3 linked regions of the Schizosaccharomyces pombe genome follow. Changing the gene in region 3 together with the main gene of any one other region gives a genetic interaction. Each region holds a gene or a part of one and is shown on either strand. Other genes may lie near its edges.

Evidence for each region. Genes that interact genetically often act in the same process or in processes that back each other up.
Region 1: of rhp18 (region 3) and ubp2, changing one suppresses a phenotype caused by changing the other (phenotypic suppression), as found in Schizosaccharomyces pombe (one study listed by BioGRID).
Region 2: mutations in rhp18 (region 3) and cdc6 impair growth when combined (synthetic growth defect), as found in Schizosaccharomyces pombe (one study listed by BioGRID).

What each region holds. Positions count from the first base shown.
Region 1 is NC_003424.3:3,484,353-3,491,599, forward strand, and holds ubp2 (ubiquitin hydrolase Ubp2), read left to right. Parts: upstream 1-2,841; 5' UTR 2,842-2,972; coding exon 2,973-6,332; intron 6,333-6,416; coding exon 6,417-6,482; 3' UTR 6,483-6,747; downstream 6,748-7,247. Other genes in the region: hrb1 (RNA-binding and mRNA export factor), read left to right, coding at 326-346, 384-713, 889-990, 1,030-1,131, 1,230-1,622, 1,704-2,150; bsd1 (heavy metal ion homeostasis protein), read right to left, coding at 7,231-7,247.
Region 2 is NC_003423.3:2,740,561-2,749,096, forward strand, and holds cdc6 (DNA polymerase delta catalytic subunit Cdc6), read left to right. Parts: upstream 1-3,201; 5' UTR 3,202-3,282; coding exon 3,283-3,511; intron 3,512-3,563; coding exon 3,564-6,595; 3' UTR 6,596-6,630; coding exon of another isoform or gene 6,631-7,767; 3' UTR 7,768-8,036; downstream 8,037-8,536. Other genes in the region: Ras guanine nucleotide exchange factor efc25, read left to right, coding at 1-2,605; hen1 (S-adenosylmethionine-dependent methyltransferase), read right to left, coding at 6,631-7,767; ribonuclease H Rnh1, read right to left, coding at 8,231-8,536. UniProt on the Schizosaccharomyces pombe protein: Catalytic component of DNA polymerase delta (DNA polymerase III) which participates in chromosomal DNA replication.
Region 3 is NC_003423.3:1,066,888-1,073,538, forward strand, and holds rhp18 (postreplication repair E3 ubiquitin-protein ligase), read left to right. Parts: upstream 1-3,140; 5' UTR 3,141-3,370; coding exon 3,371-4,534; 3' UTR 4,535-4,683; downstream 4,684-6,651. Other genes in the region: mannan polymerase I complex subunit Anp1, read left to right, coding at 205-1,497; DNAJ protein Spf31, read right to left, coding at 2,223-2,801, 3,005-3,055; TRAPP III complex subunit Trs8502, read right to left, coding at 4,684-6,540. UniProt on the Schizosaccharomyces pombe protein: E3 RING-finger protein, member of the UBC2/RAD6 epistasis group. Associates to the E2 ubiquitin conjugating enzyme ubc2/rad6 to form the ubc2-rad18 ubiquitin ligase complex involved in postreplicative repair (PRR) of damaged DNA.

The DNA.
Region 1 (7,247 bases), on a different chromosome or scaffold from region 3:
TTGATACAATTTATGCACAGTCTTTGAATTTTTCAAACACTTAATATTAACTGAGGTTATCTCTAACCCTAGTTATTGTTTGAGTTTCCATTTTTATTACGACTCATTTACAAACAACTAAAACTCCTTACTATGATTAATTAGTCAGTACATGTCAATATTTATAATTTAAATGTTTACAGTTTTTTTATTCTATTGTTCTTTTAGCGAATCTAAGAGTTTACAGTATATCACTTACGAAATTATATTGCAGTTACACTATAGAAGTCAAGTTGTTGGGATGCTTTAATTATGTGAAGATGCACACTCAGCTTATGCTCTTGCGATGCCTAAACCTATAGAATGGGTATGATAACTATTGATTGATTTAGCTGATCAAATAGAATGAATTTGATTCAGGAATGGGTAGTAAGTTGGATGTGTCAAGTTCCTTGAATTCATCGTCTTCCAATATGGATCGTGACAGATCGGAGTCTCCGAAGCGACATGTCAACGGAAGCAATTCATTGAAACGTGGCTTGCATTTTGATGGAGAGCACACTGAAAGAGACCCTCACTTGGGAAATGGCCAAAAGTACACTCAACAAGAGCGTCGCGTGTATGTTGGTAATTTGTCATATCAAGTTCGTTGGTTTGAGTTGAAAGAGTTTATGGGACAAGTTGGCAATGTTCTTAATTGTGAGATTTTGAATCTTCCGAATGGATTATCGAAGGTAAGTTTGCTTCATAGAGGGTGGGTTTCATGCGACTAGTAAATCATTGTCTATTTAAATTGTAACGTTGAATCGATCCAATTGAACGTTACTTTTAAACGATTACTTATGGCCTATAGCTTATCCTAAAATTTGTCGTATACTCAGATTGTGAATAGTCTAGCTAATATATCAGGGATGCGCGATAATTGAGTACTCTACTGCTGAAGAAGCGCGCACGGCAATTAAAACTCTGAGCAACCAAAAATTTATGGGCCGTCTTGTTTATATCCGTGAAGTAAGATTTTTTTTATGTCGCTTATTAACCTTCGTAAAGGATCGAGAACAAAATGCAAGATTTGGCTCCTCTTCAGTATCGCCTAGCGCGTCGTCGAATGGCAAAGATTCTGAGCCAGACAGGCAATTGTTTGTTGGTAACGTAAGTTCAATTTCTAATCCTCTATATTCTTTTCCTCGAACTTTGGTATTTTAATGAATTGTGGAATTGCAAATAAGAAATGGTACTAACGAGTATAGTTACCGTATAACGTTCGCTGGCAAGATTTAAAGGATTTGTTTAGACAAGCTGGTTCTGTTATCCGAGCTGATATCCAAATGAACCAAGAAGGCCGATCCCGTGGCATTGGGATTGTTGTCATGAGTTCGATGAAAGAAGCCATGCATGCCATTCAAATGTTGCATAACACTGATTTCATGGGCCGCACTTTAGAAGTTCGCCTAGATCGGTTTGCACATCATAAAAGTAAGCCGTATTCCACTCATGGAAATGGCTATACGTTTCCAGCGGAAATGCAAATGACTACATCATCCACCTATCTACCCATGTTAGGTGCTAATACTCAAGTCGAGGATTTAGTTTATCATGCGTATCCCCATGGACCCTGCTCGGATTGCATTTACGTTGGAAATGTATGTATATAAGGACGCTTTTGTGGGATTAGTTTTCCGCATCATTTTAAGTTTTTTTTGGAGATTACTGACTGAATATAGTTACCTTGGGCCACCTCAGATCGCAATTTATTGGACCTATTCACAGATATTGGCTCAGTCATTCGTGCCCGAATCGCCTATGAGCCCACTGGCCGATCTAAAGGTTTCGGTGTCGTTCAATTTGAGAATGAAAATGATGCAGCATCCTCAATTGAAAAATTAAATGGTTATCGTTATGGCGGGAGACCCTTGCAATTATCATACGCTCACTATGCGACTCCACTACCTGCTGTCCCTACTGTGCTCTCGGGTCTTCCTTCAGTCGCTTATACACCACCTGTTATGCATATCCCTACAACGAATTCACCACTAACGCCCCAATCTTTTACAAATTCTTTCTTAGGCTATCTACCGATTTCAATGCCCGTTGCAAACATGCCCGCTATTGCTCCTATTTCTGTAGCTTTACCCGAAAATAATATTGAACATTCTTTGGAGCCTTCTTAAAAATTCGCCAATACATCTGAACTTCTTTTCTCTTTACAATTAAGCACATTTCCGTAGTGTGAATGGCTAGCTCAGTGACGACATGCGCAATGTTCTAAGGCAGTTATCCTAATATTGTTTGCTTTTCTCTATTTTTTCTTCAAATTTTTGCTTTAATTCCTAATCCCCAAATATTCTTATTTTCCATGTTTATAGATTTATCTCTTTTGTTTGATTTCAATTTTTTGCTAAGATCTTATTCTTTTCCGTGACACACCAAAGTATGCTGATGGCATATATATTCGTCTCTCGTTCTTCTAATTGAAGTCTTTTTAATTTTAGCTTTACTGTTTTTTTACAGGATGCCTAGTTTCCTTCTTTTACAATTGCTAACCATTTCATGGTTTTAATGATATTTTAGATTTTTAGACTTCCATTCTGTTAACTTCCAGTTAACCAAGTTTAATCTTTATTGATTAACTACATTATTTTTAAAGTAAGGTGTATTTAGGTTAAAAATCTTATTTAAGCATAATGGTAAATTTCGTATAGCGAAATGTAGGTGTTGATTGTTTCTTACCTTCTTTAGTAGCCTTATCAATGAAATACAAACATTTACTTCTATCTTATTCCCCACATTCATAAAATTGATGGTCGCATACCTGGCTGGCATATGTAAGACGACAAGCATCATACGCATGAAGTCTACCTACCGAGTCCTTTACTCATGAAAAATCCTTCAATCTGTACGTTCTTTCCGTTTGGACGTTTTTTCAAGTATTTTTCATAATAAAAAATTTAAATTTCTTTATTAAAATTATTTACATCAAACTATAAAGAGGAATGGCAACTGTAAAGAACTTGCGAATTGGCAAAAGTCCTAATCGGTTGATTCAAGATTTAGACGTCTTTGATAGTCCATCAGCTGGATGGAATGATCCTTGGAGTCCTCATAGCTCAAGATATCACTGGCAGCTTCATTCAAATTTAGGCGAGTCCGCTGTATTTGACGAGAATGACTTTTGGTGTGTTTGTCAAAAAACTCGCAAACACTTACATGTGAAAGTCCGAAGAGACAGGGGGAAGCCATTAATTGAAGAGCCTGAAGAAAATTATGGAATAAAAGATAGGATTCCTGTTTACTACGAAGAAGAGGAATTACCTGAACCTCATGTGACTAGCCCTACGAAAAGTGAATTCGCTACTACCTCTACTTGTATGAAATGGAGTAGCAAAACAACAAAAAGTGAAATTGAAGTTGAATGGAGAGATAGCTATCTTGATGCTAATTGTATCAAAGAGATAATTGATTCCCGACGTCCATCATTTGCTTCCCTTTTAACTAAAAAATCGTCATCTCATCAAGGGTCATCCCATTCATCCCAACCTTCTCTTTTTACTACATTTACTTCTTTGGAGTTGTTTTTACGAAACGTGTTGGTCCATAACGATCAACGTGCCATTAGCGCTGCCCCGGAAGGAACTTTTGAGAGACATGTCGGAAAGGGCCGCCAAATTCAATCTTTGATGAAATCTCTTCTGTTTGAATATCACCACGAAAATGTAAATTATGTCCCTACCATTGCGGACGCTCCCCTTACTGACGAACAAAAACTTAATCTATACCTTGCTAGGAATGAACTTATTGTTTTGGCTAATCACTTTCGTGACACTAAAGAAGATCCGGCTATTGTTGCTAACCCTTTTCCCGTTAGGTTGGCTCGACCTGCTTTAATTAATGCCTTTGGCGTTCCTAACTATGATAGCGTGGTTCCCATGTATACCACAGTTTTTCGCGACAATTCGGCCTCCTTACCTGATGATCCTGCTTTTATAGCCTTGGGTATCACGAATGATTATCCAGACAGCTTTGTCCGTTATTTCTATGAGGAACAAAAAAAGAACGATGAAGCTAATGTTCGTGTTTATGCGGATGCGCTTGCTCATATATACAATTTACGTAAAAGCAGCTTTTTGAGAGATCTAATTGCGGCAGATAGGAAAAATGGAATCGTGTCGAGCGATGTAATACAAGCCGCTTATTCGAGTTTAGGACTTGAAGCTGAGGTAGGCCCGGATTACAGGTATAGTCAAGAAAAAATCTTTGAGGCGTTTCATTCTGCCCTCCTAAGAAAACCTGAATTTGCCAGAGCTATTAGGAACGATTTGGAGACTATTGGCTATGCAAGAAAGAGTTCTGAAATTTTAAATTATGTTTTGTCTACAGAACAGGCTTTTTATACGGTTAATGAAGCCTACCAATGGTTGGGCATTAAGTCTAACACCGAGGACGCCATGGTAGCTTCTGTGGCCTTAGTGAAATTTGAAGATGATAGCGACAAAGCCATCGAGGCCGTCAAATGGATAGCTGAAGAGAGAAATAGCTCCATTTTGTACGATTTCTTGGCTTCACAAGGTAGACCTTCCAACAAGAAGCCTAAAGAAGTGCCTATGGATGAAGATCTAGCTTACAACACATTAGGTGTTCAAGATCGTGCACTATCAGATGACGTTTTAATCAATGTATACGGCTTTGCTGTTGAAGACCACCCAGAGCAATCAGACACTTTGAGAGCAGCTTTGAAATGTATAGGAGAAGTTAGGAATTCGCGTTTAATCACTCATTATTTAGAACATGGAAATCTAGATATTCCACCAGAAGTTTCAAGTTTGGATACTCCGATCGGTTTGGAAAATACTGGTAATCTTTGTTATTTGAATTCCCTGATCCAATACTACTTTATTATAAAACCTCTTCGTAATGCAATTTTGGATATTGATGAAAACAAAGATCTTAATATGATTGAAAACAAGGAAGCTGTCAAGAAAGTTGGTGGACGGATTGTTACTCGAATTGAATTCTTGAGGGCTTTACAATTCACTTATGAACTCCGAAAATTATTTATTGAACTCATTACTTCAAAGTCATCGTCTGTTCATCCTTCTTCAGTACTGACATATCTTGCTTTAATACCTCTTACGTTGGACCAGGTCAAATCTGGAACATCCTCGGTTATGGATTTGTCATCGTCTCGAGAGTTGAGCAATTTGAATGAGAGATCTATCACTATTGACCCCAGAGCAGAAGAGCAAGCTCAAGGGCTTGAACAAGAACAAGGACAGGATGAGGCCAAAAGTCCAGCGGAACAATCTTCATCAGTTAATTTAATTGATTTTCCCATGGCCAATACTAACGGAGAGTCTCAAACACAACCTCATTACTTTGAAGTATCTGAAGAAGAAATAAACTCCTCCATGGATTTAGGTCGTCAACAAGATGTCTTGGAATGTATTGATCACGTTTTGTTTCAACTGGAAGCTTCACTTGGTCGTATTTCCAACTCAGAAGATCGTCTTGGCTCTGATAATGATCTTATACGACGTTTGTTTTCTGGCAAACTAAAACAAACACTAAATGATGCTAGTCAAGGAGTACGGTCTAACTATGAGATTTTTTCTCACTTGATCGTTGACCTTTTCGAGGAGAAACAAACATTGTATGATGCATTGGATGGTGTTTTTGAAACAGTCAATATTGATATGGGAAGCGAAACTGCCCAACGATCCTTGTGTATTACTGAGCTACCGATAATTTTGCAATTACAAATACAGCGTGTCCAATTTGACAGGACTACTGGACAGCCTTTCAAGTCTAATGCATTTGTTGAATTTGGAAAAGAACTTTCCATGGACAGATATGTTGAAGATACTGATGGGAAAATGGCACCTTTACTACAAAGGTACTGGGATCTAAAGCGTGAAATTATCAACCTTCAAAAACGACAACAGCTATTGTTAACTACAAATTCGAATCTAATGTCATCTGTTGATACATTGTCTATTCTATCTAAATGGGCTGCACAGCAGCAGGATTCGAGACTTCCTATTAATCCAAAACTTCCTGATATCCTTCAAGAGGAAATAAACAATGTTGTCGCTGAAGTGGATATGCTTAAAAAACAGGAAGCCAGCTTAAAAGAAGAAAGGACGCATCTTTTCGATAATTACATCAGCCATAGCTACGACTTGCTTGCTGTATTTGTGCATCGTGGACAGGCTTCATTCGGTCATTATTGGACTTACATTCATGATTTCGAAAACAATGTGTATCGAAAATATAATGATGAATATGTTACTGTGGTAGATGAAAGCGAAATTTTTGCTGATACTACGGGCAACAATGCTAACCCTTACATGCTTACGGTAAGTCGTTATTATTTCCCATTTGAGGGAAATAATCATTTTCTCAAATTTTTTCCAGTTTACATATAGCTAACATTTATCTAGTACATTAGGAAAGAGTATCGACACATAATTGAATGTGTTCACCGTGAACACAATCTTCTGCTTTAAAAACTATGTGAAGGGTAAAAACTAGGATGGATCATCCGTGATCAATTGCTATGAATGGAGGTTGGAAGTTGTAACGTTTTTCACGATATTAAAGCATGGAAGCTATGAATTCATATTTCAAAAATCTATTTATACATAAAAATTTAGTTATACTTTATACATCGGTACGGGTTAATAATCTATTAGTCTTTACTATAAAGAGAAAATTTTTCTATGACAAAATTGCAAAAAGTCTAGCAAAAAAATTGAAATGTAAACAAACGGCTTTTATTATTAAAATGGCGATTATCGCAAATTTTATTATAAGTAGTAATCTTTGACAAAAAATGTAATTAATAGATGAAACTAGTAGAAGTTTCCAATAAATAAGTCAATAAATCACTATAGAAGTACCATGGAAAAAACATAAAAGTAGCTGTAGAATCAATAGCAGGTTTTAAGGTAATTTGAACGAGCTTTGTACAAAAATACATCAACAGTGCCGTGAATGTGCCAAGTTATTCATCAAAGAGAGCGAAAAGTAAAATGATGCGTCGTAAAAAAAATCAGGTAGGGCAAGATTAACTAATAAACTAGGTATTTAAAACAAGGATCATCCGCCCATAAACCGAAATAGAAAAAGAGAACATGTTTAAAGAAAAAATGAAAACTATAAGGGAAATAAAATCTTAACACATAAACGAAAAAGTAAGGAGCCGATTATTTTGTAAAGTATACGGCCGCAACTAAAAGAACCTATAGATCGTGACTAAACCACTTCTTCCG
Region 2 (8,536 bases), 1.7 Mb from region 3:
AGGAAATACCCGAGCTTCTCCAGAAATTCGCTATGTAAGCGATTTCACTCCTCCCTCATCTCCCTTTGAAGACATGCAAGCGTCTGTTCATTCTTTGCCCTTGTCTGGATGTTCGATTGGTCCTGTGCGTACTAACCATTCTTCATCTTTGTCAAATTCATCTAACTCATTACTACAAACCGAGTCCTCCTTGCGACCCAATTCTTCTTTCGTAAATAGTCCTTTTTTCCCCCTTCCTTCTTCTGATGATCTTTTCCTTAATGACAGAGTCATTAATCTCTTTCTTTTTTATGAAAAATTCTCTTATTTGTTCACTCATTTACTTTCTGCTATAAAATCTAGAGATGCGTTGAGCATTCCATCACTCGTTCTTTCTCTCCAAGAAGAACTCTTCAATCTCTGCCAGCAGACCGGGACTTTTTATCTTCTCCAACACAATCTCTTGCAAAACTTTGAGTTTGAAAACCCCATTAAATTACATTTTGATAAGATAATTCCCTACTTTTCGAGATTAACTGTACTGACCTTCTCGAATCGTGCTTTTATTTTTCCAGACCACACTTTTCCCCGCTTACAGCAAAGCGCTGAGGATTTTCTGTACCATTTACAATTTTTCTTTACTCTGTGTGCAAATAATAGTTTATACCTTAGTCGCTTTTGTTACTACCCTTCTTTTGTTCCCAATACTCCTTTCGGGGGCAAATGGACCAACAATGGTTTGTCTGCTGTTTCATCAGCATATCGAACACGCTTGCTTGAGCCTTGCCTACCCGAACTCGACAAGTGCGTATGGTTTTTATTGAAAAATTGTGATGAATTTATTGAAAACTTCTCTGATTTTGCCGATGAAGAGTATGTCTTTGAAATTTGTTCCACAATTACTAGCCACTCTGAACAAATCTTCAACAAACTTGAAAGTTGGGATATGTCGATATACTTTGATAAAGATTTAAGTGAGTGCGAGCAAGCTACAAACTTTGCAGTCCAATCTTACTTTGTTACAAAGCAACGTTGTTATGATTTATTAACTGATCTGGTTTGTTCATCTCAAGACTTGATGATGGAGCACTCAAACGATTTTTCTACAATGCCTACAATGATTGCTTCCATTGCTGTGGCTTTCCAAACTTTATTTGAAAATGTTTGTGATTTTCTTAAAGTACGTGCTGCTCTCGTCGATGAGATGCAGGAATTAGCAACAAAAGAGTTTGAAAACAAGTTTTCAAATGCAAACACAGCAAAAGATGACGAACCGGCTCGTCAAACTAACAAAGGTACTACTAGAATTTCTAGAAGTTCTGATTTTACCGCTGTTAGCGAGATGAGCAAGGATACCTTAACACTTGGCAGAAACTCTTTGCAATCAATTTTGATGCTGGATAATTTGTTAACCAATAAAGTTGTGCAAAGCGATAACAATGTTAAAGGTGGAACTTTACCGGCCCTCGTGCATTACCTTGTCCAGAACGTTCACTTGAACAAAGATTTTCGCCATTCGTTTCTTTTGACTTATAAAACGTTCACTACCCCCCAGGAATTGTTTACGCTTCTTGTCATTCTGTTTCACGAGTTACCGCCACCAGGATTAGATGCTACAGCATATAGTTCTTGGGAAAAGGGAGATAATTTTGTTACCAAGAAGAACGTCTGCACCGTTATGAATTTGTGGGTTCAAAAATACTTTTTTGAAGATTTAAAAGCCCGTAACACTCTTTATTTGATTTCGGAGATGCGTACCTTTTTACGTGACCATGTTGTTCCATCTTTTCATATTGGCAGTGTAATTTTATCGGAAATTGACAATCTCTGGACTGAAGAGCCTCCAGATTCGTTAACCCAACGCCTATTATCTTCTCCCATGGCTACTTTTATTTCTTTAAACGTATATGCTTATACTCCTGAAGAATTTGCTTCCCAGATGACATTATTGGAGTTTGATTATCTAAAGCAGATTCCTTCGAGGGAATGGATATTTAGAAGCTGGGTTAGTCGCGATTCTCGCAGCGCTGTCCGAAATTATATAAACTTTTCGAATTGTTTCACCTATTGGATAATCAATTGTATTTTAGAGAAAAAGAATACCAAAGCTCGTACAGCAGTAATATCCTTTTTTATACAAACTGCCTACAAGTGCTTGTCCCTCCAAAACTTTTCCACTCTAATGTCTATTGTTTCTGCCTTAAATTCTGCTCCTATTTATCGTTTACATGCAGCGTACAAACTTGTTAAAGCTGAAGACATAATATGTCTGTCTGGTTTACGTGAAATCGTGGAAACAAAGAAAAATTTCAGTACTTATCGTGCTTTACTTCGCAAGGCTGAACTTCCTTGCGTACCGTTTTTGGGTGTCATATTAAGTGACTTGACTTTTATCGATGAAGGTAACCCCGATGTTCTTGATTCATCTCCACATCTGTTAAGTTTTAATAAGCGGCATCGACTTGCCGATGTCGTCGCAGATGTGTGCCGATTCCAATCCTCCTCTTACGAAATGCAATCTAATACTGATCTTCAAAGCTATATTTTACATCGGTGTCGCTTTGTTAACCAAGATCTGTCCTATTTATTTGATAAATCACTCTCACTTGAACCTCGTTCTTCTTAAATCTTATTTTTTACCCCTCTCTTAAAATCCCGTTTTGGTTTTAGCCCGTATAGGGTTCGCTCTTTTAGTTGTCTTTCAGACACAGCTTTTAATCTATCTCTTTACGTATTTACTGTTAATGTTATCGTATTGGTTTAACTGACATGACCTTGATGTTGTATTATTCATTAGGCGTTGGTAAACAAAGTCTCAGAATAAATTATCGGAATTGTCGGTTTGTAGGCTGATGACTCTGCTCAGTTTTCTTAATTCCTATTGCTTGGAATCTAGTTCTTTTTGTTTTTGGACAATTGCGTCCTTTTTATTACTAATATCTTCCATTAATAATAAATTAGTCTTTTGTTATGCCCAAGAATACATTAAGTAGTGGTTTATGTAGCTTGATGGAGATTGGTATAAACTTGTATATTTGATTTCTTTCTCCATCGTAATTTGACAGCTAACCTATTTAATGTGGTTTTACCTTTTCAGCAGTTGACACTCATACCAAAATTTATTGGTGTACGCTTTGAACTTACCTACAAGATATTCGCCTAAGTACCTATTTGTTGTTACCTACAAAACCCTTTTAGTTGCTCGTCTTCCTACCAAAAACCAAGAGCATGTAAGCTTGGTGTCTTCCTTATTTACCATTTTCTGTTCTAATTTTCATAATAAATAAAAAATTAATTACTAGAATGACAGATAGGTCTTCAAATGAGGGCGTCGTGTTAAATAAAGAAAACTATCCATTTCCCCGAAGAAATGGTTCAATTCATGGCGAAATTACAGATGTCAAACGGCGACGTTTAAGCGAAAGAAATGGATATGGTGATAAAAAGGGCTCATCCTCAAAAGAAAAAACTTCATCTTTTGAGGATGAGCTGGCTGAATACGCTTCACAATTGGACCAAGATGAAATAAAATGTAAGGTTTTTTGGATAGCTAACCATTTATTAGTATACTGACTCCTTGATAGCTTCAAAAGATCAGCAGTGGCAACGACCAGCTTTACCTGCAATAAATCCTGAGAAGGATGATATTTATTTTCAGCAAATCGATAGTGAGGAGTTCACAGAAGGATCTGTACCTTCAATTCGTTTGTTTGGTGTTACTGACAATGGAAACAGCATCCTTGTTCATGTTGTGGGATTCCTTCCGTACTTTTATGTTAAAGCCCCGGTTGGATTTCGACCTGAGATGCTAGAACGTTTCACACAAGATTTAGATGCTACTTGTAATGGGGGTGTGATCGATCATTGCATTATAGAGATGAAGGAAAATTTATATGGATTTCAGGGAAATGAAAAATCTCCATTCATTAAAATCTTTACTACTAACCCTCGTATATTATCTCGAGCACGAAATGTATTTGAAAGAGGAGAATTCAACTTCGAAGAGCTTTTCCCTGTTGGTGTCGGTGTCACTACTTTTGAGAGCAATACGCAATATCTTCTTAGATTCATGATTGACTGTGATGTTGTTGGTATGAATTGGATTCATCTTCCTGCTTCAAAATATCAATTTCGTTACCAGAATCGAGTTTCTAATTGTCAAATTGAAGCTTGGATTAATTACAAAGACTTGATCAGTCTTCCAGCTGAAGGCCAGTGGTCTAAAATGGCCCCACTGAGGATCATGAGCTTTGATATTGAATGCGCAGGTCGCAAAGGCGTTTTTCCTGATCCCTCTATTGACCCTGTAATTCAAATTGCAAGTATAGTAACGCAGTATGGAGACTCCACTCCTTTTGTTCGTAATGTCTTTTGTGTTGATACATGCTCACAAATCGTTGGAACACAAGTATATGAATTTCAAAATCAGGCTGAAATGCTTTCAAGTTGGTCAAAATTTGTTCGTGATGTTGACCCAGATGTTTTAATTGGGTACAACATCTGCAACTTTGATATCCCTTACCTCTTGGATCGAGCAAAAAGCTTACGCATTCACAATTTCCCATTACTTGGCCGTATTCATAATTTTTTTTCTGTCGCAAAGGAAACCACGTTTTCAAGTAAAGCATATGGTACTCGTGAAAGCAAAACCACTAGTATTCCTGGGCGTTTGCAGCTTGATATGTTACAAGTAATGCAGCGTGATTTTAAGCTTCGATCTTACTCTTTAAATGCAGTCTGCTCTCAGTTTCTAGGCGAGCAAAAAGAAGATGTACACTATTCTATCATCACTGACTTGCAAAATGGCACTGCCGATTCTAGAAGACGTTTAGCTATTTATTGTCTGAAAGATGCATATTTACCCCAACGCTTAATGGACAAATTAATGTGTTTTGTTAACTATACTGAAATGGCAAGAGTAACAGGTGTACCGTTTAATTTTCTTCTTGCTAGAGGCCAACAGATTAAAGTTATTTCTCAATTGTTTCGCAAAGCTCTTCAACATGACCTAGTTGTTCCAAATATACGTGTAAATGGAACAGATGAGCAATATGAAGGTGCTACAGTCATTGAACCGATTAAAGGATACTATGATACCCCTATTGCAACACTGGATTTTAGTTCACTTTATCCTTCGATTATGCAAGCCCATAATTTATGCTATACGACATTACTTGACTCAAATACTGCAGAATTATTAAAACTTAAGCAAGATGTTGACTACTCAGTGACTCCGAACGGAGATTATTTCGTTAAACCACATGTTCGTAAAGGACTACTCCCTATTATCTTAGCTGATTTACTTAATGCACGTAAGAAAGCAAAAGCAGATCTAAAAAAGGAAACGGACCCATTCAAAAAGGCTGTTTTGGATGGTAGACAGCTAGCTTTAAAAGTAAGTGCTAATTCAGTATATGGATTTACTGGTGCTACCAACGGACGTTTGCCGTGTTTAGCAATTTCTTCTTCTGTTACCTCTTATGGTCGACAAATGATTGAAAAAACCAAGGATGTTGTAGAAAAGAGATACAGAATTGAGAATGGATACTCTCACGATGCAGTTGTAATCTATGGTGACACTGATTCTGTTATGGTTAAGTTTGGCGTTAAAACGTTACCTGAAGCCATGAAATTAGGAGAGGAAGCAGCTAATTATGTTTCAGACCAGTTTCCGAATCCTATTAAACTGGAGTTTGAGAAAGTGTACTTTCCATATCTTTTAATTTCCAAAAAACGTTATGCAGGATTATTTTGGACTCGTACAGATACTTATGATAAAATGGACTCTAAAGGAATAGAAACTGTCAGAAGAGATAACTGTCCTCTAGTATCTTATGTGATTGACACAGCTTTGAGAAAAATGTTAATTGATCAGGATGTAGAGGGTGCACAGTTGTTTACAAAAAAAGTTATTTCCGATTTGTTACAAAACAAAATTGATATGTCACAACTTGTAATCACAAAGGCATTATCAAAAACTGATTATGCTGCCAAAATGGCACACGTTGAATTGGCTGAGCGAATGCGTAAACGAGATGCTGGCTCCGCCCCAGCCATAGGAGATCGCGTTGCATACGTTATTATTAAAGGTGCACAAGGTGATCAATTTTATATGAGGTCGGAGGACCCTATATATGTATTGGAAAATAACATTCCTATTGATGCAAAATATTATTTGGAAAATCAACTCTCCAAACCTTTGCTTAGAATTTTTGAGCCTATTCTTGGTGAAAAAGCTAGCTCTTTACTTCATGGTGACCATACTCGGACGATTTCCATGGCAGCCCCCAGTGTTGGAGGAATAATGAAATTCGCAGTAAAGGTTGAGACCTGTCTTGGATGCAAAGCTCCCATAAAAAAAGGTAAAACTGCTTTATGTGAGAATTGTCTAAATAGATCGGCGGAACTGTATCAACGTCAGGTTGCTCAAGTGAATGATTTAGAAGTTCGTTTTGCTCGCTTATGGACTCAATGTCAGCGATGCCAAGGAAGTATGCATCAAGACGTCATTTGTACCAGTAGAGACTGCCCCATATTTTATATGCGAATTGCAGAACACAAGAAACTTCAGCAATCTGTTGACTTACTGAAAAGATTTGATGAAATGTCCTGGTGAAAAAGATGGATGTTTTTAATTACTAAATGTGTATATCAAACGTAATGATGAAAAGTTATAATAAAAATTCTACTTTTCTTAAGTACTTTTGCAATGCGAAAACTAAACGAGTTTGCCAAAGCTATACCTTTATGTTTGCTTTTTTTTAATTCAGGACAATATGATAAGTAAATTGAATCATCATAATGGAAGGCATGTCGAATGAGAGGCGAAGACTCCCAGATAAACAAGAAAGGTAATTTTACTGACAAAGCACACTTGCCAGCAATAACCTGGAATAAAAGTAAACAGTGACGTCCAAATAAATGATCAAAAAATGCTTTTTTCAGAAGATTCATAAATTGCTGCACTGTTGGAGGAAATAGTTGCTCCATAAATGGGTATGTAATCTTTTTGTAAAGAAGGATGCTTGAATTTTGGTCTTTTAAGAAGCAATGAGAAGCAGCATTGTTTTTAGATTGATGAAATACTGCGATTTGGGTGCAGAAACCGTAAGTAGATGATGGGCGAAAATGTAACAAATCGTCACCATCTATTAGATCATTTAGCAAACCACAGCCCGTAAATTCAACAGTATACTCTGGGTATCTTTTACAAATTTTATAAGCCCATTTAGCAAACTCTTTTCGATCCCATTCAAAAACGTGTTCAGGATGTCTAAAATTGGTAGAAGTACGAGATGATATACTACTTGTCAAGGTTGATAGTTTCTCAAAGATTGTGTTAAATTCAAAATTCGGAGTTGACACTACGCAAACATTGGGCTTCAAGTTTCCAAAAACAAGTTTTTCAAAGGCTAAAATCTCTGCAACTTGACAATGCTCAATAAACTCTGAAGCTACAACCGCATCAACATGTTTATAATGAGTAAAATCTTTAATATTACCAAGCAATAATTCAATATGTAGCGGTCGCCAACGTAGTTGTAAAAAGTCTTCGGTTCTAACCTGTAAAGCCTCAGTAGCTCTTTCAATACTTTGTTCGTTAATATCAATACCGGCCAGAAATTCTATAGGCACTTGATCATTGCAAGGTACTAAATATGATAGAAAACGAGCATCTCCACATCCAATGTCTAACAAAGATCGCACAGGGAAGCCTCCTTGAAGTATTTTAAATAATTTCCTTCGACGCTGTACATGCAAAGGTGGGTAAAAGCTAGAGACACCCATTGTCTAAACTCAAAGTATTTTTGGTACACTTTCTTCACGTTAGTCAAATAACTACCTATTAACTGTGAATGTTCGTTTCAAAACCACTATTTAAGCCTTTTCAAATTCATTACGAAGCGAATTGTTATTAATTCTTTGCTAAGTCCATTGCAATATGATTTCGATGACTGCCGTTAAGACACCGAACCAAATTTAATTGAAAAGGGAATTGTTGACTAGTGCGAAGTGTCATTTTCAACGTTAAATAATAAAATTATCTTAGCTCCGAATCTATACTTTTCAATTTCCTCTTTAAAATTGTTATAATAGCATGATATTTAATTACAATAAAATATGTAGCATTATGCAAAACGAGAACAAAAAAAGCACATACAACCAGCGAAGAGTAGACGAAAATTATACGGCAAATTTCAAAAGAATGTACCTATATCCATTTTTTACAGCGCTCATCATAGATGACCATTTACTCAGAAGCTCCTCGCCGAGCAAGCATATCGGCTTGTTGATTACCGTAATCGGTACTGTGTCCTTTCACGTACTCTAGCGAAACATTTCTGTCACTCATCAAATCTGAAGCGCGGTTGATCAAATCCAAATTTTTTACAGGTTGTGAATTGCTAGTCTTAAAGTCATTTTTCTTCCATTTAGGCAGCCATGTGGTTAGTGACTTAATGGAATAATTGCTGTCAGAGCGGATGGTCAAATCGCCAGATGTATTTTCAAGGGCTAGGATTATGGCTTGCAATTCCGCACGATTGTTGGTTTGCTC
Region 3 (6,651 bases):
TTTAAGTATTAATAAGCTTAAATTAATTCTTTAAATTCACAGTCTCCAATTTTTTCTAAAATTCTTGATTTTGGTATTTTTGCTTAGCCTTCGCGTTCGTTATATTTATATACTACCAACCACTTTAAACTAAACCAACCCCGTACCTTTGGTAAAGTAGCCACTACTGCTTTATAAAGCTATTTATTGTTAATCTCTTCCACAATGAAAGCAAATAGAGACTTTGGAAGAGATGGTGGCCCTTTTAGTATTACGCCGAATCGATTCCAGCCTAAATCCAGCGGAAATCCCATATTCCGACAGAAAACCATTCGAACTGTTGGGATAATTGCTTTAACACTGGTCTTATTTTTATTCTTCCATCGTTCATTCTTCTCTTCTTTTGGTGAATTTCCCAGTTTTTCTTCTACCGCGAACGCTCCTAATTCTGATGTGCAAGAATATGACTTGCGAAAAGTAATGAACGCTAAATTTACTGGAGATTATTCACCGAAAGAAAAGGTGTTGATTTGTGCTCCACTTCGAAATGCTGCAGAACATCTTAATATGTTTTTTGGTCACATGAATAACCTGACTTATCCTCACGAACTTATAGACCTTGCCTTTCTAATTTCAGACACTGATGATAATACTCTCGAGGTTTTGAAGCAACATTTAGACGCTATTCAAAATGACGAGGACGAATCTAAGCATTTTAACAATGTCCTTATCATGCTAAAGGACTTCGGTGCTATTTTCGGTCAAGAATTCAGTGACCGTCATGGATTTGCGGCACAAGGTCCCCGAAGGAAATTAATGGCTCGTGCTCGTAATTGGCTTTTGTCAGCCGCTATACAGCCTTACCATTCTTGGGTTTACTGGAGAGATGTTGACGTGGAGACTGCTCCAAACACTATTTTGGAGGATCTTATGCGCCATGATAAAGACATTATTGTTCCTAACGTTTATAGACCCTTACCAGATTGGTTGGGCAATGAGCAACCATATGATTTAAATTCATGGGCTGAATCTGAGACTGCTCTTCAGCTTGCAGATACTTTGGGCGAAGACGACGTTATTGTAGAAGGATACGCAGAGTATGCTACCTGGCGCCCTCATTTGGCTTACCTTCGTGATCCTAATGGTGACCCATCTGTTGAAATGCCACTGGATGGTATTGGTGGTGTATCTATTATGTCTAAAGCTAAAGTACACCTAGAAGGTTGCGAGTTTCCCGCATTTTCATTTGAAAAGCATGCTGAAACCGAAGGATTTGGAAAAATGGCTAAGCGGATGGGGTTTTCCGTTTACGGACTTCCTCACTATGTTATTTGGCATATTTATGAACCTAGCGATGATGATAAGCGTATTATGGCTGAAATGGAACGCGAAAGGAAAGAAAGGGAGGCCGCAGAGCTTGAAGAGGCTAAAAAGTATCAGACTGCTGGATTCACGCAACCAGATGATCAGGGTGCTGAAGAAGGTCCTTTGGCACATGCAGACGATCATGTTGATTAAGCTCCCTTACTTTGTAAAAAAATTCCTGAGCACAGTAACCATGTTTTACAGTCCTCTCTCTTCTTTATTTAAATCGCTGCCCCTTTTCACTTACATATATAATGATGGTCGCGTTTTTTCTTTATTCTTATTTCTTTTTATCTCTTTTAAACATATGATCAAGACATAATTAGTAATTTTAGTGTTATTCTGCCCTCTTTTTTTTAACTTGGTATACGAACTCATAATGGGATGCACGTTAGGATGATGCTTGTTTCTTCAGTTGGTGCGCTTTAATGCTATGCCAGGAAAAAAAGGAAGCTCTTGGTCTTATTCTCTCTTTAAGGACTTTTTCCTCCAAAAAGCCTTGTACATACAAACATCTTTAGTTTGTTGTTTATTCGACAGTGGGTAGGGCAATCATTCTCTTTCTTTACATGCACCCATTAGGAATATATGCCATAGAACGCTGTAAATATACAAAGCAGTTACCATGGTTAAACGGCATTCATATTAATTCTATTACGATACTGATACATATCACTGTCGAAAAGCAAATTTCAGTAGAATTTGTTGATTAGTTTACTTAATGGTAATCTGCTCACGTAGCATGAAAAGAAATTTCAATTTATAAATTGTTGAAAACTTCATATTAAATCATTTCAATCGCATAGGTCATGTACAAATACTAAAAGAGGTTAAGTCGTCGAAGCTTTAATGTACAATAAAACGCGTAACTTCGTCTTTTATCCAAGAACCCTTGGTTTTTTATTCTTCTTTTTTAAGTTATTTTTCTTCGTTTTGTGAAGGAAATCCTGCCAATTTCCCACACGATTATCTCTTGTCTCTTCCCAAACCTTTTCTGATTCTACACGACGCTTTCGTTCTCTTGCAATTTCATCTTGACGCGCTTGTTCTCTTTGCTGGTTTGCTAAATCGAGCTGCCGTGCTCGTCTTCTTGCAACTTCATCTGCAATAAGGATTTCACGCCAACGTACTTTTAAATCAAATAAAAACTGGTCTGAATGGACGTCTTCCGAATTTGGAGACAATTTTTTTTCTTTCAATAGTTGGTTCCTTGCAGCTGTGTAAGCCGAATCAAGAGATTCCCGAATCTTATCATTAACTAGATCAGACTCCGCCTTTTTTAAAATGTCGAATGCGTCTGCAGCTTTTGGGTTATCGCGATTTTTGTCTGGATGAATCATTAATGATTTTTTCCTGTACAAATTTCGAATATCATCAACACTCATTCCTGGCAAAATATCAAGAACATCATATGCATTTAATTTAAAGGAAGACAATATTCTGTCAATCTCACGTCCCTAAGTAAAGGTTAGAATTCATCGACTTTGTTTGATTAGCAAGTAATATACGCATAGGCAAAGTTATTCTATTGTTTCATTGTAGTATATAATCTGTATAAACAAAAAAAAAAAAAATTCTGAGAATAAGATAAATCGAATCAACCTACTAAGGTACATCTAGAAATCTTCACATGCAATGTCAATAAAATGCTAAAACTTACTCTGTTTAAACTTCCTTCAACTCGATCTAAAAACTTTGCAACGTCTGCCATTTCTGACCGAGCCCCAAAATTGAAATTACAAGAGTGCAAATTTCAAAAATCCTTTATAGATAAATTTGGTGGTGAGTTAGGTTTTGCATTCGCCAACTTCTGGTATCGAGGGTAAGAATCTGTAAGTACGTTTAGAAACAGGTTCTTTACATTTGTTCTTTAAATGTAATAATGTATATGAATATACATATTCATTTACATATCGATGTGTCTAAGGTTTAAAAATTTACCGTCCGAGAGTGCTCTTACGAATCCCTAATTAAGTTTGAATATTAGTGCATATTAACTATTAATGGGTTTGCAATTTAAAATAAGATGAATGAACTAGATGCTACAGATCCATCTGATTGGAACCAAACGAAAATACCATCGTTGAAGGGCTTGGATTCTTCTTTACGATGTCTGATTTGTCATGAATACTTTCGCGCCCCCTTAATTACTTCTTGCTCACACACCTTTTGTTCGTTTTGTATACGCGATTATCTGAGAGAACATCCTATGTGCCCTGCTTGTCGTGCTCCTGAGCAAGAAAGCCGCTTAAGAAAAAACACTATATTAGAAGAGATTTTAGAGTCCTTTAAAGTGATCAGGCCAACATTGTTTGAATTCTTAAAAGTAGAAAATGTGCCAAAGCCAGTACTTCAAGCTCCTGAAACAGTTATCGCACAGGATTCAGCTTCTGGCGATGAGGAATGGGAAGACGACTTGGCTTCAAATTCATCTCCTGCTTCTATAGCTAAAAAGACATCTAGGGATTCTAAAAAGAGGAAACGTGAGGATTTAGTTCACTGCCCTGCATGTTCAAATTTAGTTCCTCATAATCAAATTAATCAACACTTGGATTCTTGTCTTAACTCACCTTCTTCCCCGTCTTCCTCTTCCTCACCTTATAAAAATAAGGATAATAGTAAATCTAATTCATTACTATCATTCAAAACAGATGATGATTCTATCACGAAGCGCAGGTTAAGGTCGTTTAACTCTGCAGATGAACTACCCTTGAAAGATCGAGTGCGGCTTCCCAAACTAACTTATGCACTCCTTTCCGAATCAAAAATTCGTTCCAAATTATCAGAGATGGGGCTTCCAACCGATGGACATAAACAACTATTACAACGTCGACATGCTAAATGGGTTACCCTTTACAATTCTAATTTAGACCAGAAACAACCTGTTTCAAAAAGAAATTTAATTCGCCAACTTATAGATTGGGAGCGCGTTCAGTCGAAATCAATTGGAGTAGAAAAAGAAAAACTAGGAGGGGGCGATTGGGAGAAGGCATACGCTGAGGATTTTGCTGATCTCATCAACCGTGCAAAACAATCAACAACTAACAAAAATGATTCATTGAGGAACACTGCTGTTGAATCTTCCACCGAACCTTCTACATCTAACGGTTTTCCTGCCACTTCAGTTAGTCCCCCTCTTACTATTGACCTTACCAATTCACAAACGGGATCCGATGGACCACAGTCCTAATCATTAATTTTCGTTGGATTCGTTTTAACGAATTTTCATTATCAGATTAACTTATTAGTTTATTTCGCTATATATAATCACATTAATAACCTGTAGAAATTTTGATATTTGGTAAATAAAATAATATACATTTTGAAAGTGGGGCATTTCTAGCTAGAAGGAATATTAGAAGCAGGTTGTTTGGAGACTTCGACTTCGTCAAGTGCTGCAACACACTCCTTCAAATCCTTCCAATCGATTTTTCCATAAAACAATTTTGCTTCCTCTACAAAAGGCTTGGCACGAAAGGGAATGCGACATCTCAACCAAGCATCGGCAGTTAATACACACCAAAGTGCGGCTTTACGAGTTCGCTTATTAGAGAACGGGTCCGTAGATTCAGTTTTTAAATAAGAAAGGGATTTAAAGAGAGTGTGAGTTTGTTGAAAGATCATTGCTCTTCCTACAGGACCCAATCTCTTAGAATAAAGCAAACCTGCATTCCAGTTAGCAGCATCGTCCACTTTTGGAGCTGGTAAACAACTAAGGAATTGTCCCAGGAGAAGGAAACAGCGCGCAGCATGATAATAGGAATTGAAGGATTTATTCAAATAATTTAACATAGCAGATTGCATATACTCGTTTATTCTCAATGTGTTCGTCAAACTCATATATGGCATTTTTAGGTGTAAAATATGTTCAGTTATTACAATCATTTCTAGAGAGGCAGCAGAATATAAGCAAGCACCATCATTTTCATACTGTCTTGATGCAATTTCATAAATCTGATTTGCATGAGAATAATCTCGTAGCATGAAGGAATAGTCGGCAAGTTTCCTAAGATATGCCTCTGGTGAAAATGGACGATAGGCATTAGATGAGGGGAAATAGTTAGAATTGGTAGAAGCATTCGAACTAGATAAATATTTTCTGGATGCAAATAACAGCTTACCGGTAATCCCTCGTCTCGGAGAAGCATATTGATCATCCCATGCTCTTACGCATTTGTCCAAATAAGAGACAATTCCGTTGAACGCAATGTGCGAAGATAACCGTCGCAGTGATTCATTGTCGGATTCAAAGAGTAATCGTATTTCAGTATCCGTATTAGATAAAAGGTGTAAACGTTCTTCAGCAGACAACCAAGAGGATGTTGGAAAAGGAACGGTATGTTCATAATCTAAGGTAGCCTTTTGTGAATGAAGGCGAAGAAAGTATCCACAATCTCCAAATGTCTGCTTCATCGTATCAAATATAGCCATTGAAAGCTCCAAATCATGTTGATCTTCATCATGAACATATACGAAAAGGTAGTTTATATCATTGAAAACGAAAGCAGGAAGGGAAAGGTAGGGAATCGAATTAATCAAAGATCTGAGAGATTCAAAAGGACTAGGATTATGCGAAGTTACTACGACAAGGTGAGCAACGGGATGAGAAAAAGTTTCAAAAGGAGTAATAGGTATCCCAGTTAGTAACTGTCGCACATAGACAGGAAGTGGCATTTGGTAATTCCCTTCATGAGCCAATGTCCAAGCCCATCGTTCAACGTTTTTATAATGAACGCCAAAGGAATAATCTGAAGGGGGTTCAGGTGAAACAAGACCTGGATATCGCTCACATAAAACCGAGCGAAGTGAAGGAAAAGATGCTTCACTTAAGTGGCTTTCTAAAGCATCAATTGGGACAAAATGTAAATTTAAATTTTCCAACGTCAGCATTTCTCCATTCATTCCTCTACGGTTTACCTTTCCACGAATACGGTCTCCAAAAGGATACAACAATTCCCAAAACCCCTTAGGATATCCCTTCCTCATGGCAAACTCGTCAGCATCTCGGGAACATAGGACCGAAACTCGCGGAGCATATGCTTCTTGGATGATGGAACACAACTCCTCCATCGAATACAGTCCTTTCGACTGCATTACCTTTTCAAGATCTTCTGTTACGGGCTCTTGAAACAATTCCCCTGATGCATTAGCACTTGCATGTTGAAAAATACCTTTGGCGGAAAGGTTGCTTTCCATATTTTGCTGAGTAAATGTCAAATTCAAGCTTTTTCAATTAAAAACTCGAAATCCGACACTTAAATGACTTTATTACAAAGCTGATGTAGTGAAGAATACATGCAATGCACC